Linked DNA regions of Lonchura striata. The protein of the gene in region 1 purifies or fractionates together with the protein of each later gene. This does not show direct contact. Links are inferred from orthologs where the notes say so. Each region holds a gene or a part of one and is shown in the gene's direction. Other genes may lie near its edges.

Region 1 (7,250 bases):
GTGTTGCAGAACTGGGATCCCCATCCAGTATCCTTAGCAGCCTGCAGCATTCCTGAGGCTTCTTTATTCTGGATAAAAGGAGGCAATTTGAATTATTTCCATCTGAGCTGATGCTGAGTTAAGCTCCAACCCCTGCAGAGCAGAGCTCCAACCTCTGTCCCTGCACCTCAGGTGGGCTCTCCCTGCCTGCCAGAAGTTCTGGGTGCACCCTCGACCGCTGAGCTGCCTCTTCTGTGTCCTGCAATGTGAAAGTAGCACCAGATACTCCTTCGTGCAGTTCTGTGTATATGGCTTTCGTAGGTGGGTTTTCCAAGCACTGATTCCCGGTGTTTTCAGTTTGTCTATGAGGGGATATTTTATTTGCATCTATGTTTTTAGCTCTCCTGTGATAACTTGTTGAATATTAAAAAAAAAAATATTTTGCTTCTATTGGGACATTTGTATACTCGCAACTATATTTCTGTAAACAGCTGCAGTCGAGAATAAACGATGAAAGTTTTCATTTTACACTGTAAAGTCTTGTGATGGTTTTTCCAAGGGCATCTCCAGAGCCGTGCCTGGGGTGCTGCAGCTGCTGCAGGAGAACGTCCTGGGGAACCACACTGACTCGGTGGTGTGGGACCCCAGTAACCCCTGGGGGCTGCCCAACCCAGCCCCCAGCTTGTGACCAAGGGAACAGTTCCCAAAGGAACAGCTTCCAGAGCCTGGGATGTCATTTTGGGGACTGGGGGAGAGGCAGTCTGCCCAGAGAGGTGAGGCCAGGAGTCCAAAGCCAAGATGCTGCAGTGACCCCATCCTCAGCAGGATGTGAGCGTGCCTTACCCAGTGCCCTTTATCTGCAGCTTTGGCAGCCTGGAAGTGCCCTGGGGCTGGGGAGGCCCAGCTGTGCTCCCCTTGGCTGTTCCCAACCTGTGACCTCCCCAGCACCAGGGGCCACAGCTGCTGTCAGGCATTTCCTTATTTTGAACAATTTCAGCAGGGCTAAGGAGAAACTGCAGCAAGAGCCGGGACCAACAGTCAGCTGTGAAAGATTTCAGCAGATCCCAGAGTTTCCCCCTTCAGCCATGGGCATCGCCCAGTGCAAGGGTGGGACACAAGCCCCTGCCCTGGGGTTTTGTCCTTCTGTAGCTCATTATCCCGTGGGACAAACGATCCAAGAACTCCTCCCTCCCTCCGTCCCAGCCTCCTTTTTCCTCGAGGCTCAGAGAAAGGCACAGGCAGCCGCAGAAATGGGACTGAGCCACGGTGCTTTGGGGTTTGGTGTTTATTGGGTGACACAGCCCCTGCCCGGGGGTGCCCAGGGAAGCCCCCGCGCCCTCCCCGTGCTGGGGCCTCCCCAAACCCGTCACCCCCGTCACGGCGGCTCTGGGCACCAGCGCAGCGGGGACAGGACGGCCTGAGCCGTGCCAGGTGCTGGGAGCGGCCCTGGCAGAGCCAGCACCAGCCCTGGGCAGGTGTGCCCGGGGCCCGTCCCGCCCTCACCTCCTCCTCACGAACTTCTTGGTGACGGCGTTGGGGTTGAGGCGGCGGCGGCCGGCGCCCAGGGCGGCGTCGCGCAGCTGCAGGTGCGCGGCCCGGCTGTGCACGTCGTTCTCGGCGAAGGGGGAGGCCCCGGCCAGGTAGTCGGGGTCGAAGACGTCGGTTTTCTGCCGGGCCTTGCGGGACAGGCGCTGCTGCGGGAAGCGCTGGTCCTCCACCAGGTGCGGGTTGTTGGCGTGCTTGCCGCCCTGCGGCGCCGGCAGCGGGTACTGCGGGAGAGCGGGGTCAGCCCCGGCTCCGGGGACCCCAGGTGACCCCAGCCCCAGAGCCCTGGGGTCCAAGGGCAACATCTGGAGGATGTTAGCAGTTTGCTTTGATTCCTTCCAGCCTGCCAGCCACAGGCCGGGCTCCCATCCCTGGGATCCCAGTGGAAGAATTCCTTCACAGAAAGAGTTGTTCAAGGTGGGAAGGGGTGCCCAGGGAGGAGGTGGGGTCCCCATCCTGGGAGGCGTGCAAGGAAATGACTGGACCTGGCACTGAGTGCTCAGGGCTGGCTGACAAGGGGAGGATTAGTCCCAAGTTGGATTTGATGCTCTTGCTGGTCCTTTCCAACCTCAGCGAGTCTGGGGTTCTGTCCAGGTACTCACCCTGAGCCCCCGGGGGTTCAGCACCTTGGGGTTGCGGGAGAAGTGCATGTGGAGACTCCCGTCGTCGCTGACGCTCACTGCCACCTTCTTGAGCGTCTTGTTACCGCAGTGGGGGCAGAACACCTTGGTCATGTCCGAGGTGGTCCTGCGAGGGGGGCACGGGGGGTTCAGAGCTCCTGGGGCCGTGAACACAGGCTCAGCCCGGGCTCAGCCCCAGCCCTGGCACCTGAAGCAGCCGTGGCAGCGCAGGATGTAGCTGCGGGCCCGGCGGATCAGCATCCCGTTCACGGCCAGCACGTGGAGACCCATCTGCAGCAGCACGTTCTGCGAGAGCGGGGACACAGCTGGGACCTGCAGCTGGGGCACTCGGAGCCCTGCAGGCTCTGCAAGGCCTCTGGGACTGAGACCCTGCTGCGTGACACACGGAGCTGTCCCAGAGCCCTGCAGCTCGGCACCCACCTGCATGGCAAAGTCCGTGGTGACACAGCCCACCTGGACACCGACGGGAGCAGTGTCACAGTGCCCCGCGTCCAGCTGGGCCTGCTTCAGGTTGCTGGGAGTTATCCAGCCTTCGTCATCGCTCTCCTCATCCTCCTCCTCCTCCTCCTCCTCCTCCTCCTCTTCGCCGGCGCTGGTCCCGTCTGCAGGGCCCCGGCGCTCCTCGGGGGGCTCGGGGCTGCCGGTGATGGCCTGGGCCGCGGGGGGAGATGGTCAGGGCGGCCCGGAGGGTCGGAACGACCCGGCAGAGAGGCAGAGCGAGACTGCAGAAGGTTCTCACCAGCAGCTCCTGCAGCTCCTCCTCGATGCTGGGCAGGGGCGGCCGCCAGTACAGGAAGGAGCCGAACTCGTCGCTCTCGGCCGGGGCCGGGGCCGGGCCGGGCTGGCGGGGACCCTTCCCCGCGGGTTTGTGCTGGGGGCACACACGGGCGAGCTCAGCCGCGGCTCCGCGGGGCCGGGCTCGCCCTCCCGCCGGGCCTTACCTTGGCGGGCAGGTGGAAACCGGCGAGGTGCAGGGGAGCCTCGGGGTGCCGCAGGGTGGAGCTGAGCCGCACCTGGGGGCGGCACGGGCCGTCGGTGGGGCTCTGGAACCGGGGCCCGGGCCCCGCTGGAACCGGGGCTCCGTGTCCCGCTGGAACTGGGGCCCGGGCCCCGCTGGAACCGGGACCCCGCGCCCATCCTACCTTATCCTGCGGCTCCCAGCGGATGCTGCCGGGGCCGTGGATCTCGGCCTGCAGCTGGCAGGTGAGGGCGAGCACCTGCAGGTCGGCGGCCGAGAGGCTCGGGTAGTCCCCGGTCTTCTTGGAGAACTCGGTCACTGCGGGCGGAGCAGCGGCGCCGTCAGGCCGGGCCGGGCCGGGCGGGGAAGGGGCCGGGCGGGGAAGGGGCCGGGCGGGCCCTGCCGCACTCACCGAGCCGCAGCAGGTCGGGGCGCGGGCGGCGCACCCGCAGCTCGCAGGGCAGCGCGGCCAGGCGGCGGCGCGCCCGCCGGTCGCGGATCTCGGCCAGCACCTCGGGCACGGTGTACAGCGCGTCCGCCACGTCCTGCGGGCAGCGCCGTCACACCGGCCCGCAGCCCCTCACCCTCCCCACCCCCGTCCCCGCGGTGTCCCCGCGGTGTCCCCGCGGTGTCCCCGCTGTCCCCCTGTCCCCGGTACCTGCAGCGGGGCCGCGCTCAGGAACGCGCCCGTGTCGGCCACGACGTGCGGAACACGCGCCATGTCCGCGCGCCCCGTGGCCCGGCCCGGCCGCCGTCGCGGCGCCGCGGGGGGCACGCCGGGAGTTGTGGTCCGGGCACGGGGCACGCCGGGAGTTGTAGTTCGGCCGGGCACGCCGGGAGCGGCGCCGCGCCGCGGGAGCGCTTCCGGCCGGCGCGGTCACGTGACGGGCCGGGGTCACATGACGGCGGGAGCCGGAGCCGGGCAGCGGGAGAGGAGCGGCTGCCGGTAACGGGACCGGGACGGGAACGGGACGGGGACGGGGACGGGGACGGGGACGGGGACGGGAACGGGAACGGGACCGGGAACGGAACGGGACGGGAACGGGAACGGGACCGGGACCGGAACCGGGACCGGGGACGGGAACGGAAAAGGGAACGGGAACGGGACGGAATCGGAATGGGAACGGGATGGGACCGGGACGGGAACGGGAACGGAAAAGGGAACGGGAACGGGACGGAATCGGAATGGGGACGGGAACCGGAACGGGGACGGGACGGGCTCGGCTCGGTTTCGCTTCCCGGCCCAGCCTGGGGCGCTCCCGTCCATCGGGCGGACACGGCCCGGTGGGGCGCTCCGGCCGCCGGGAGCTGCTCAGCTGTGCCGGTCCCGGCCCGGTACCGGCGGGGCCGCGGGCAGCCCCTTCGCCGCCGCCTCCCGTGCGCGGTGCCTGCCGCGCCCGGCCCGGCTCTGTGCGGGGCCGGTCCCGGTCCCGGTTCGGTGTCGGCCGCCCGGGCGCGGCCCCGCGGCTGTCCCGAGGCCGGGCCGGGCTGGCGGAACGGGGAGCCCGGGAGGAAGGGCGGCCCCGGCCCGGCCGAGGGGATCCCGCCGGGCGGAGGGGGCGGGAGCGCCCCGGGGCCGGCCCGGTCACGGCCCCGCCGCGCTGGGGGTGCCCGGGGAGCGGCAGCGGGCACCGGGCGATGTCCGGGAGCCGGAGGTGCTGGCGAGAGCGGCGCTGTCACAGCGAGGGACGGAGAAGTGCGGAGTCGGGGGAAGGGGAAGAGCCGGGAGGGCAAGGAGGGAGGCAGGGAGCCCCGGCGGGGCAGGGCTGGGTACGGCCCCGGTGGAATCCCCGCAGTGGGGAGCTGGGGACGGGAGCAGCAGCAGGATCCGATATCCTCGGGAGCCCGGGGAGAGCCGTGGGCCGGGATGACGGGGATGTGTCCGGGATGGCTGGGATGGGTCCGGGATAGCGGGGATGGGTCTGGGATGGCTGGGATGGGTCTGGGATGGCTGGGATGGGTCCGGGATGGCTGGGATGGGTCCGGGATAGCGGGGATGGGTCTGGGATCCCTGGGGTGGGTCTGGGATCCCTGGGACGAGTGACCCAGGAGGCTGGGCAGTGTCCGGGAACGCTGGCTGCTGCTGGATGGAGCCAGGACAGTGCTCGGGCAGTGCCCAGCGGGCACCTGCAGGCAGAGCTGGGGGCTGTACAGGGCACAGCCAGGCCCTGGGCTGCCAGGCAGGTTTGCTGTGACCCTGGGAGAGGGGATTTCACAGGGATCTGCCCTGGGATGGAGCTTGGGACGGTTCAAGGAGGATGAAGAGAGAGGGCAGGGAAGAGGCTCCTGCACAGGGAGAGGGGCTGGAGCTGCTTCCCCGTTTTCGTGCTTCCCTGTTGGGGAGGGGAGGCTGGCACTGCCTGGCCGGGCGGTTCTGGGCTGGGCTGGGAGCTTGGCTCCCGTGCTCTGCAGCTCCTGGGAGCGGCAGGAGGAGCTGGCTGCTCATCCCTGCGCTCTGCTCGCTGCTTCGGGTACCCGCCCTGGCCACGCGTCCCACGATGGTGCTGGAGGCCTTTCCCAGCCTCAGTGATCCTGTGGGATTAATGAAGCCAGGGCTGCCCTTGAGGTCTGTGGTCCTCATGCTGTGACTAGACCTCTGTCTGTCCAGCTGGTCCTGGCACAGCCATGTCCCCGTGGCACTGCCGTGTCCCCGTGGCACTGCCGTGTCTGCCCGGCACTGCCGTGTCCCTGCCATCATGTGTGCTGAGTCTGTGTCCCCCAGGGCAAGGCTTTGGTGGCTGCTCTGTCCCGCAGCAGCCCTGGGCTGTGGCTCAGGGGTTCAGGTGCCCAGAGAGGTGTTTGGAGTGGCAGTGCCCAGCTCAGCCCGTGGCACTGCCATGCAGGGGCTGCTCTCCCAGGGACACAGCGCTGCCTTTGGCATGGGGGGTTCATCAGGAGAGGAGCCTGTGTGCCCCGGGTCTTGCCCAGCCCTTTTCCGGGCACTGCAGCAGCCTCGGGCCGTGCCTGGGTGCCGTGGCAGCGGGGCTGAGCGGGGCTGAGTGTCTCCTTCTCCTTTCCAGCCGGGGGTGATGCCATGGCCGCTGCCAGCTCCAGCAGGGCCAGGGCCGGGCCGCCCTGCGAGAAGTCCCCGCTGTCTGTGAAAGGTGGGTCCTGCTGCCCCTCCGGGATTGCCCCTGCCGGGAACGTGTCCCGCTCTGCCCGCGGGGAGCAGGGCCCGGGGGTGGTGGCCGCGGGCCCGGGGCCGTGCCGGTGCTGCCGTGGCCGCGAGATGGCTCCCGGCGCCCGGAGCCGCGCCCCGGGGAGCCGCAGCCCGCCCTGCCCCTCCGCCACACCGCCGCCCTGGCGCTGCCCCGGCCCGGCTTGCCCCTGCCCTGGGGCAGGGAGGTGGCCGTGGGGACAGCGACAGTCCCCTCGGAGGGGTGAGGCTGGGACGTGCTCAGGGCTTGATGCCAGCCATCGCTGCCACCAGGAGCATTGCTCCCTGCTGCCCCTCTCCAAGTGCTCTGCTGCGAGTGTGGCACCCGAGCTGGCAGGGGCGGGCTGGGGGACAGGGCAGGGACGGGGCAGGGGTCAGCGTGTCCCGCAGGCCTGACCTGTGCTCGTCCCTGCCCAGTGGTGTCCGTGAAGCCCAAGGCCCAGAGCCGCTCAGCACGGATGAACTGCTATGTGGAGGTGGCTGGCGACGGGCTGCCCAGTGAGACCAAGAAGACGGGGAAGCAGATGGGGGTCTCTGAGCTGCTGTGGAACGAGATCCTCACCCTGTGAGTCTGTGTGACCCCTGGTCAGGGGCCGGCCCCGTGTGCCCTGCCGTGCCACTGGCTGCCACTCGGGTGGCAGAGCTTTGCCCCGTGTACGGGGACACTGCCAGAGACAGCCAGGCTGGGTGGGCGGTGGGAGGAGGGTGTCCCAGTGCCCTGTGTCCCCGCACACCTTCCTCTGCTCCCCGAGCACGGAGCAGGCAGGAGGCCATGGTGACAGCCCCTCTCTGCTCTCTGCAGCAATGTCACAGCTCAGAGCCACTTGGAGCTGAAGGTGTGGATCTGCCACACGCTGAGGAACGAGCTGCTGGGCGCCGCCTCTGTCAGCCTGGGCAGCCTGCTCAAGGGCGGCAGCAAACGTACGTACGGGGCTGGGGCTGCCCGGGGCAGGGCATGGCACAGGGCACA
Region 2 (7,815 bases), on another chromosome or scaffold:
CAGTGGTTATCTCCACAAGGATCTGCCATCACACTGGCACTCCACAGAAAATACATAATTACTGTTGGAAAGCTTAAAAAACTCCTATTAAAAACCAGATTTCTCCTGATGAATTAGAAGGAAAGCATATTACAAAATAGATTTGTGCTGGTAACAGGATATCCTTGTTGTTCCTACATTTGATTACAGGGAGATGTTTAGCTGAGCACTTTGTAAGGTCTGTGTAGATGCAATGAGTTATTCCAGGAGCTGTGTTTAGACTGTGGCAACACAGGAATTACCATGATAGGTCTGTCTTACAATCTGCTCCTCAATACCTCCAGCAAGGATCAAAGCTTTTTGGCCTGGAATATGGAATATTAGAGACTTGGTTCATGATAAATTACATTTGGCCAAGTGTTTTTTTCCAATAGGTTTATTTTAGGATGTCACCAGTAAAGCTGCCTGAAAGTTCCTTTAGTCAGTGACTATTTTAATCAACCTCACCTTACTTTTCTACGCATATTTCATCCATAAATGCCAAAACAGTCATTATTGGTGAGGAAGAAGCCAGTGCATTTTAAAAATAACAAAAGGTCAGGTACTCTGCTATGTTTGGTTTGTTGCAGCAGCTGAGCAATATTTACTATGGGGTTTATAAGTTTATTTTTTAAATTCCTAAAAAAAAAACCAAAAAAAAAAAAAAAAAAAAGGTGGGTGAAGCACTTTCCATTCAGGAACATTTTTATTTTGCTCTTGATACCTTAACCAAACACATCGGTGATAATAAAATTAATCTTTCATGATAGCCTCTTTAACTGCATCTGTAAAATCTTGTTTTTGTACACTTAAGTAGAAGTTTTGTTTTCCTTGGGGGAAAACAAAAAGGGGAATTGATAACTTAAACTTCTGTGAGCTGCCTACTGCTCTGAGAATTACAATGCTCAGAGTTGACAGGTTATTTGAGAAGCCATCAGGATTCCAAGTGATTTTAAATGCTTCTCTCCTCAATCTGGCATGGATTTCCTTGTTTTCTCGTAAGCCTAATTGAAATTGTTTAATTTGCCAGATGTTCCCCAAGATATTTCCATTCCATCTTCCTGAATGTCTTTCTGCTTGTATCACTTAGAAAATTATTTTCCAGTTTCTCTGCTATGCTCATTATCCAGATAGAAAATATTAAAAATCTATTATTTGATCTCTTCATATTCTTCTAATTTATTTTTAATTCATTCCTTTACCATTCACCTAGGCTCAGATACAAGTTTATGAGAATAGGAGTGTTTTCATAATAAATCCTTCAACAGTCTATTTTTGTCTTTCTTTAAGGGCACAGGATGACATAGTAAGGGCTAATAAGATGATTACTTTAAGAGTCTTCAATTAGGCACTTACATGTGAGCTCCCTAGGGAAAACATTGCTCCACAAGTTATTTTGCTGGCAGTGTTGGGAGAATTATCTTCATTTTCAGCCTGCCTATGACTTTTAAGGGTCTGTAGATTGCTTCTGGATAGTCTGAAAATTAACCTTCCTTATGAAGTATGTTATTTATGATATCAATACTCCCTCCTTACAGCCTGAAGTCTATTAATCACAGTAAGCTAGACAGAAATTCTGGCACAGTCACAATTTTCCTAAGGTTAGAGTTTGCTGTCCAGCTGGAGGATGTTCTGGTAGTGAAATGAAGTTGTTTGTAGCTGCCTGACCCACTGGTGTGAAGGAAGATGCATTTGATGTCTGGGTGCCCCTGGGCAGGCGGATGCTGCTGTGCAGACTGGTGAGGGGCACCAGTGCAGCTTTGAGCTCTTTGGTTATTTCTTAAAGAACAGAGCAGAAGAGTTTGCTCACGTGAAGGGCGAGTACTGTTTCCCTCGGTGTCCCCACACTCCTGCTCTTGGGCCCTGCTTTGTGCCTTGTAAGACTTTGGGTTCATGATCACACAATTGATTAGGTTGGAAAAGACCTCTAAGGTCATTGAGTCCAACCTTTGAGTGAAAACCACCATGTCAACTAGACCATCCACCGAGCGCCACCTCCAATCTTTCCTCAAACACCTCCAGGGACGGTGACCCCACCACCTCCCTAGGCAGCCCACTTCAATGTCTAATCATCCTTTCAGTGGAGAAATCCATGATATTCAACACAAGCCTCCCCTGGCCCACCTTAATACTGTGTCCTGTCGTCGCCTGTGGGAAGAGGCTGACCCCACCTGGGTACACCCTCCTGTTAGGGACTTGCAGTCTCGGTCTGTCGCAGCTGTTTGCCCTCTGTTCATACATACCACGTTCAGCATCCCGCTGCTCTCCCTCTCAAAAAGCAGCTAATTACTGAGCGAGCTTAAACACACCTCTGAGAGCTGTTTAGTTGGCACTCAGCCTCCCTGCTCCCGCTGCTTCTCCTCCGTGCCCACAGCGGCAGCCGAGCTCCTTTATCCTCAGCAGCGCCCAGGACAGAACCGGCCGCCGCCCTTCAGAGAGGGACAAGCAGCCGCGCCCTCAGCCCGCACGGAGGAGAGAGCCGCTCCCGCCCTCCACCGGGACTGGGACCTCAGCTCTCACCCGGGTAGAGCCGCTCCCACCCTCCACCGGGACTGGGACCTCGGCTTTCACCCGGGTAGAGCCGTGCCCGCCCTCCACCGGGACTGGGACCTCAGCTCTCACCCGGGTAGAGCCGCTCCCGCCCTCCACCGGGACTGGGACCTCACCCGGGTACAGCCCTCAGCCCTTATCCGGGCAGTGCCCTCAGCTTTCACCCGGGTAGAGCCGCTCCCGCCCTCCACCGGGACTGGGACCTCAGCTTTCACCCGGGTAGAGCCGTGCCCACCCTCCACCGGGACAGGGACCTCGGCTTTCACCCGGGTAGAGCCGTGCCCGCCCCTCACCGGGACTGGGACCTCAGCTTTCACCCGGGTAGAGCCGCTCCCACCCTCCACCGGGACAGTGCCCTCACCCGGGTACAGCCCTCAGCCCTTATCCGGGCAGTGCCCTCAGCTCTCACCCGGGTAGAGCCGCTCCCGCCCTCCACCGGGACTGGGACCTCAGCTTTCACCCGGGTAGAGCCGTGCCCGCCCTCCACCGGGACAGTGCCCTCACCCGGGTACAGCCCTCAGCCCTTATCCGGGCAGTGCCCTCAGCTTTCACCCGGGTAGAGCCGCTCCCGCCCTCCACCGGGACTGGGACCTCAGCTCTCACCCGGGCAGAGCCGTTCCTGCCCCTCACCGGGACAGAGACCTCGGCTTTCACCCGGGTAGAGCCGTGCCCGCCCCTCACCCGGGACAGGGACCTCAGCTCTCACCCGGGTAGAGCCGTGCCCGCCCCTCACCCGGGCACAGCCCTCAGCCCTTATCCAGGCAGTGCCCTCAGCTCTCACCCGGGCAGAGCCGTTGCCGGCCCCTCACCGGGGCAGATCTCTCAGCCCTCACCCGGGCAGTGCCGTTCCCGCCCCTCACCCGGGCAGTGCCCTCACCCGCGCACAGCCCTCAGCCCTTATCCGGGCAGAGCCCTCATCCCCCAGCCGGGCAGTGCCGTTCCCGCCCCTCACCCGGGCAGTGCCCTCACCCGGGTACAGCCCTCAGCCCTTATCCGGGCAGTGCCCTCATCCCCCAGCCGGGCAGTGCCGTTCCCGCCCCTCACCCGGGCAGTGCCCTCACCCGGGTACAGCCCTCAGCCCTTATCCGGGCAGTGCCCTCAGCCCTCACCCGGGCAGAGCCGTGCCCGCCCCTCACCCGGGCAGTGCCCTCACCCGGGCAGAGCCCTCAGCCCCCAGCCGGGCAGAGCCGTGCCCGCCCCTCACCCGGGCAGTGCCCTCATCCCCCAGCCGGGCAGAGCCGTGCCCGCCCCTCACCCGGGCAGTGCCCTCATCCCCCAGCCGGGCAGAGCCGTGCCCGCCCCTCACCCGGGCAGTGCCCTCACCCGGGCAGAGCCCTCAGCCCCCAGCCGGGCAGAGCCGTGCCCGCCCCTCACCCGGGCAGTGCCCTCACCCGGGCAGAGCCCTCAGCCCCCAGCCGGGCAGAGCCGTGCCCGCCCCTCACCCGGGCAGTGCCCTCACCCGGGCAGTGCCCTCAGCCCCCAGCCGGGCAGTGCCCTCAGCCCCCAGCCGGGCAGAGCCGTGCCCGCCCCTCACCCGGGCAGTGCCCTCACCCGCGCACAGCCCTCAGCCCTTATCCGGGCAGTGCCCTCAGCCCCCAGCCGGGCAGAGCCGTGCCCGCCCCTCACCCGGGCAGTGCCCTCAGCCCCCAGCCGGGCAGAGCCGTGCCCGCCCCTCACCCGGGCAGTGCCCTCAGCCCCCAGCCGGGCAGAGCCGTGCCCGCCCCTCACCCGGGCAGTGCCCTCAGCCCTCACCCGGGCAGTGCCCTCATCCCCCAGCCGGGCAGAGCCGTGCCCGCCCCTCACCCGGGCAGTGCCCTCACCCGCGCACAGCCCTCAGCCCTTATCCGGGCAGAGCCGTGCCCGCCCCTCACCCGGGCAGTGCCCTCAGCCCCCAGCCGGGCAGAGCCGTGCCCGCCCCCGCCCAGAGAGCCGCCCGCCTGCCGTGAGGCGGGGCCGCCCTTTCCGCCGTGGCTTTCCGGTGATGGCGGCGGGCGGCAGCGACCCGCGGACGGCGGACGTGGAGGAGGACGCCTCGCAGCTCGTCTTCCCCAAAGGTGCGAGCGGGGCCGGCGAGGAGCGCGGGGTCGGCTGGTCGGAGGCCGGCAATGGCCGCCTGTGAGGGTGCGCGCCTCGCCGAGCGGCTCCGTGGACCGGAGCGCTGCTCAAAGCCCCTCCAGCAGCTACTAAGCCCCCAGTGTTAAAAATCAGGATAACAAATGATTTATATATGTTTAAGGATCTCATGGTTTCTAGGATGTGGCGGTTCTTAGGTGGGCTTCTAGGCGTGTATAGGGTATTTGAAAAATAATTTTTAAAATCCTGCCAGGTTGTAGAGAAAATGTTGGTTTTTGATATAAGGTTTTTCAGTGATGTTTGTTGACACAGGAGTTCTTCCCTGTGAGGGAGGTGAGGCCCTGGCACAGGGTGCCCGGAGAAGCTGTGGCTGCCCGATTCCTGGAAATGTCCCAGGCCAGGCTGGACAGGGCTTGGAGCAACCTGGGACAGTGGAAGATGTCCCTGCTCAGGGCAAGGGTGGAACTGTATGGGCTTTTTATGGTGCCTTCCAACATAAGCTGTTCTGGAAATCTGTGAATACAAAATTAGCTGCAGTTAGGAAACCAGCTGTCCAGACCCAGAGTGTATTTTTTTTTTTCCAGAAAATTAATGCAGTATAATATCTAGAAGTGTATTTACACCTCAGAGCCACCCTGCCCAGTGAAAGAGCTCACACAAGTCCATGAAAGACATTTTCACTTCTTTATTACCCAGATCTAAATTACACACCAAACTTGTGCAATTCCCCTATTTAAACACATTCCCCTTTTTTCCATGCTGTCATTCCCTCATTCGGGCTGCAGAATTTGAAACTGCGGAAACTCTGCTGAACTCCGAGGTGCACATGCTGCTCGAGCACCGCAAGCAGCAGAACGAGAGCGCGGAGGATGAGCAGGAGCTGTCAGAAGTCTTCATGAAAACCTTGAACTACACAGCGCGCTTCAGCCGCTTCAAAAACCGCGAAACCATCGCCAGCGTGCGCAGGTGAGCGGGAAAGTCGGGGTGGAACAAACACCGTGTCGGAAAATTGGATCTCTCATACTGGTCCTGCTTTACAAAAGTACATCTTAGTGGTGTTGGTGATTTGTTCTTTAATTCTGAGTCTTTTGGCTTCCTAATGAGGCAAGAAGTTCTTGATGGAAGGTTATGCTTTGTCCAGGTCAAGCCTTCTGGACTGCTTTGTTTTCAGTATTTCACTGACAGCTGATTGCATTAAATTGGGAGGATTTTCTAGACTTTGCAGAATAATTCAGGGGAAGTGGTGTTAGCAGATAGGATTTTGTTTTTTACTCTATGCATTTATTTAATGAGTCTTTTTTCTTTAAAAAAAATTACTTCAGTGCCAAAACCAGTGTGCAAAAAGATAAGCATTTGTCTCAGTTTAAGCCCTTTTATGTTTCTGTCTTGTGATTCCATCAAATTGTTGTCTTTCCTTACAGCTTACTGCTACAGAAGAAGCTCCATAAGTTTGAACTGGCATGTTTGGCTAACTTGTGTCCTGAGACAGCTGAGGAAGCAAAAGCTCTGATTCCTAGGTAAGCACCTATATATTGTACAAAGGCTGCTGTATCCTTCCCTGTGATCTAAAGCCAGCCATGCCCTGGTATCCTCTCTTCAATCCAGCTGCCTTGCTGGAAAAACATTTGGTCTTAGTCTTTCTTCCCCTACCCACTGATCTGACAGCAACACACTTTGTACATGTCCCTAATGCACTTCTGAGAGCTTTTACTGGATCAAGTGCAAACCTCTTAAATCGGGGTTCTTAGCTGGCTGTGTTTGTGTTCCTTGGAGTGTTTTCTGTTGGAGCAGAGGAACTGTTTTGTGGATAATGTTGTGGGAGCAGCAACCAATCAAGACATCTTCATGTCTTGTTTGGTTACCTCATGGCCTGAGATAGAGGAGGGAATGAAACATTCATCTGAATTACAGTTTCTTCCTTATTCATCATTATATAAAAGGGAAGGCTTTGGGATGATCTAACTATGGGCTCCCAGTACCTGGAAAGAGACTTTTTACGAGAGTAGTGACAGGACGAGGGAATGGCCTCAGCTGAGGGTAGATTTAGATTAGATACTGGGGAGAAATTCATCCCTGTGAGGGTGGTGAGGCCCTGGCACAGGGTGCCCAGAGAAGCTGTGGCTGCCCCATCCCTGGAAGTGTCCAAAGCCAGGCTGGATGTGGCTCTGAACAACTTGGTCTAGTGCAATGTGTCCCTCCCTATCCATGGCAGGGGGTTGGAATGAGTTCATCTTCAACATCCCTTCCAACCCAAACCATTCCATGATTTTATGTTAGGATTTCATAGCAAGAATGGACTGGCTTATGAGCATGCAGCTACATGGACTTCATTTAGAGTTCTGCTTACACCTGCCTTGCCTTTTTTGAAAACAAGTTGTGAAATTTCTGGGAAGAAGGAGTTTTGTCATGTAAAGAGGAAGCAGTGCATAGGGATTAGAGCACTCTTTGTAAAGTGATGTCAAAGGTGGTTCCTAGTGGTCACAGGTAGGTGACACAGTGTGTTGAGACTGACAGGAGAGAGTTATGACTGAAATAAATCAAGGGAGAGAGATGATTTCTGAAACCTTTAATGTCTCTTTATTGCTCTTACCTTGCAGCCTGGAGGGCCGGTTTGAAGATGAAGAATTACAACAGATTCTTGACGACATTCAGACTAAACGCAGCTTCCAGTATTAAGGTTAACCCTCAGCCCCTTTATCTGAGCAGAAAAACCTGAAGAGCTGGGCTGTTTCTCAGCCCTCTGGATCAGTCCAGCTCCCAGCTGAGTGAGAGCAGTTGTGGATGCAGGGTGCTCCAGTGCTGTGTTGCCACAGGTGCATTCAGACTGGAGATCAGCATTGTCCTTTTGGTTTGTTCCATGTGTATGTTGACAAGGACCCCCTGTATTGTGAGAGCAAAGAACCTGAAAGGCCTTTTCCCAGTGGCTCAAGTATTTATGTTTCTTCCCTAATCCCTCTCCCCAGGTTGTACATTTTCAACACTTTTGGTTTTTACCAGAAATGTAGATGTGATTTTGTGTTTTTTAGGAGCTTCTAAAGGATGCAGAATCTTGGTCTTGGTTCTCAGAAGGTTCAGTGATGAGCAGCATCAGTATCTGTGGTGTTTTTTGTTTGTTTTATTGTTTGATTGGGACAGTGCATTTTTCCAGCTTCAATATTTTTCTATTATTGTTTA

The links. The genes of interacting proteins can lie anywhere in the genome.
Region 2: the proteins of WWP2 (region 1) and POLR2D purify together in Homo sapiens (affinity purification with mass spectrometry; 3 studies listed by BioGRID and IntAct, with this or other methods). This does not show direct contact. The link is inferred for Lonchura striata from reciprocal best matches to the Homo sapiens genes WWP2 and POLR2D.

What each region holds. Positions count from the first base shown.
Region 1 is NC_134615.1:23,108,557-23,115,806, forward strand, and holds the start of WWP2 (NEDD4-like E3 ubiquitin-protein ligase WWP2), read left to right. Parts: upstream 1-3,956; 5' UTR 3,957-4,069; intron 4,070-6,143; 5' UTR 6,144-6,157; coding exon 6,158-6,227; intron 6,228-6,697; coding exon 6,698-6,845; intron 6,846-7,082; coding exon 7,083-7,201; intron 7,202-7,250. Other genes in the region: RNA-binding protein NOB1, read right to left, coding at 1,479-1,748, 2,127-2,271, 2,353-2,450, 2,586-2,816, 2,905-3,036, 3,107-3,178, 3,308-3,441, 3,536-3,668 and 1 more. UniProt on the Homo sapiens protein: E3 ubiquitin-protein ligase which accepts ubiquitin from an E2 ubiquitin-conjugating enzyme in the form of a thioester and then directly transfers the ubiquitin to targeted substrates.
Region 2 is NC_134612.1:4,369,760-4,377,574, forward strand, and holds the start of POLR2D (DNA-directed RNA polymerase II subunit RPB4), read left to right. Parts: upstream 1-4,525; 5' UTR 4,526-4,549; coding exon 4,550-4,622; intron 4,623-5,426; coding exon 5,427-5,607; intron 5,608-6,062; coding exon 6,063-6,158; intron 6,159-7,238; coding exon 7,239-7,317; 3' UTR 7,318-7,815. UniProt on the Homo sapiens protein: Core component of RNA polymerase II (Pol II), a DNA-dependent RNA polymerase which synthesizes mRNA precursors and many functional non-coding RNAs using the four ribonucleoside triphosphates as substrates.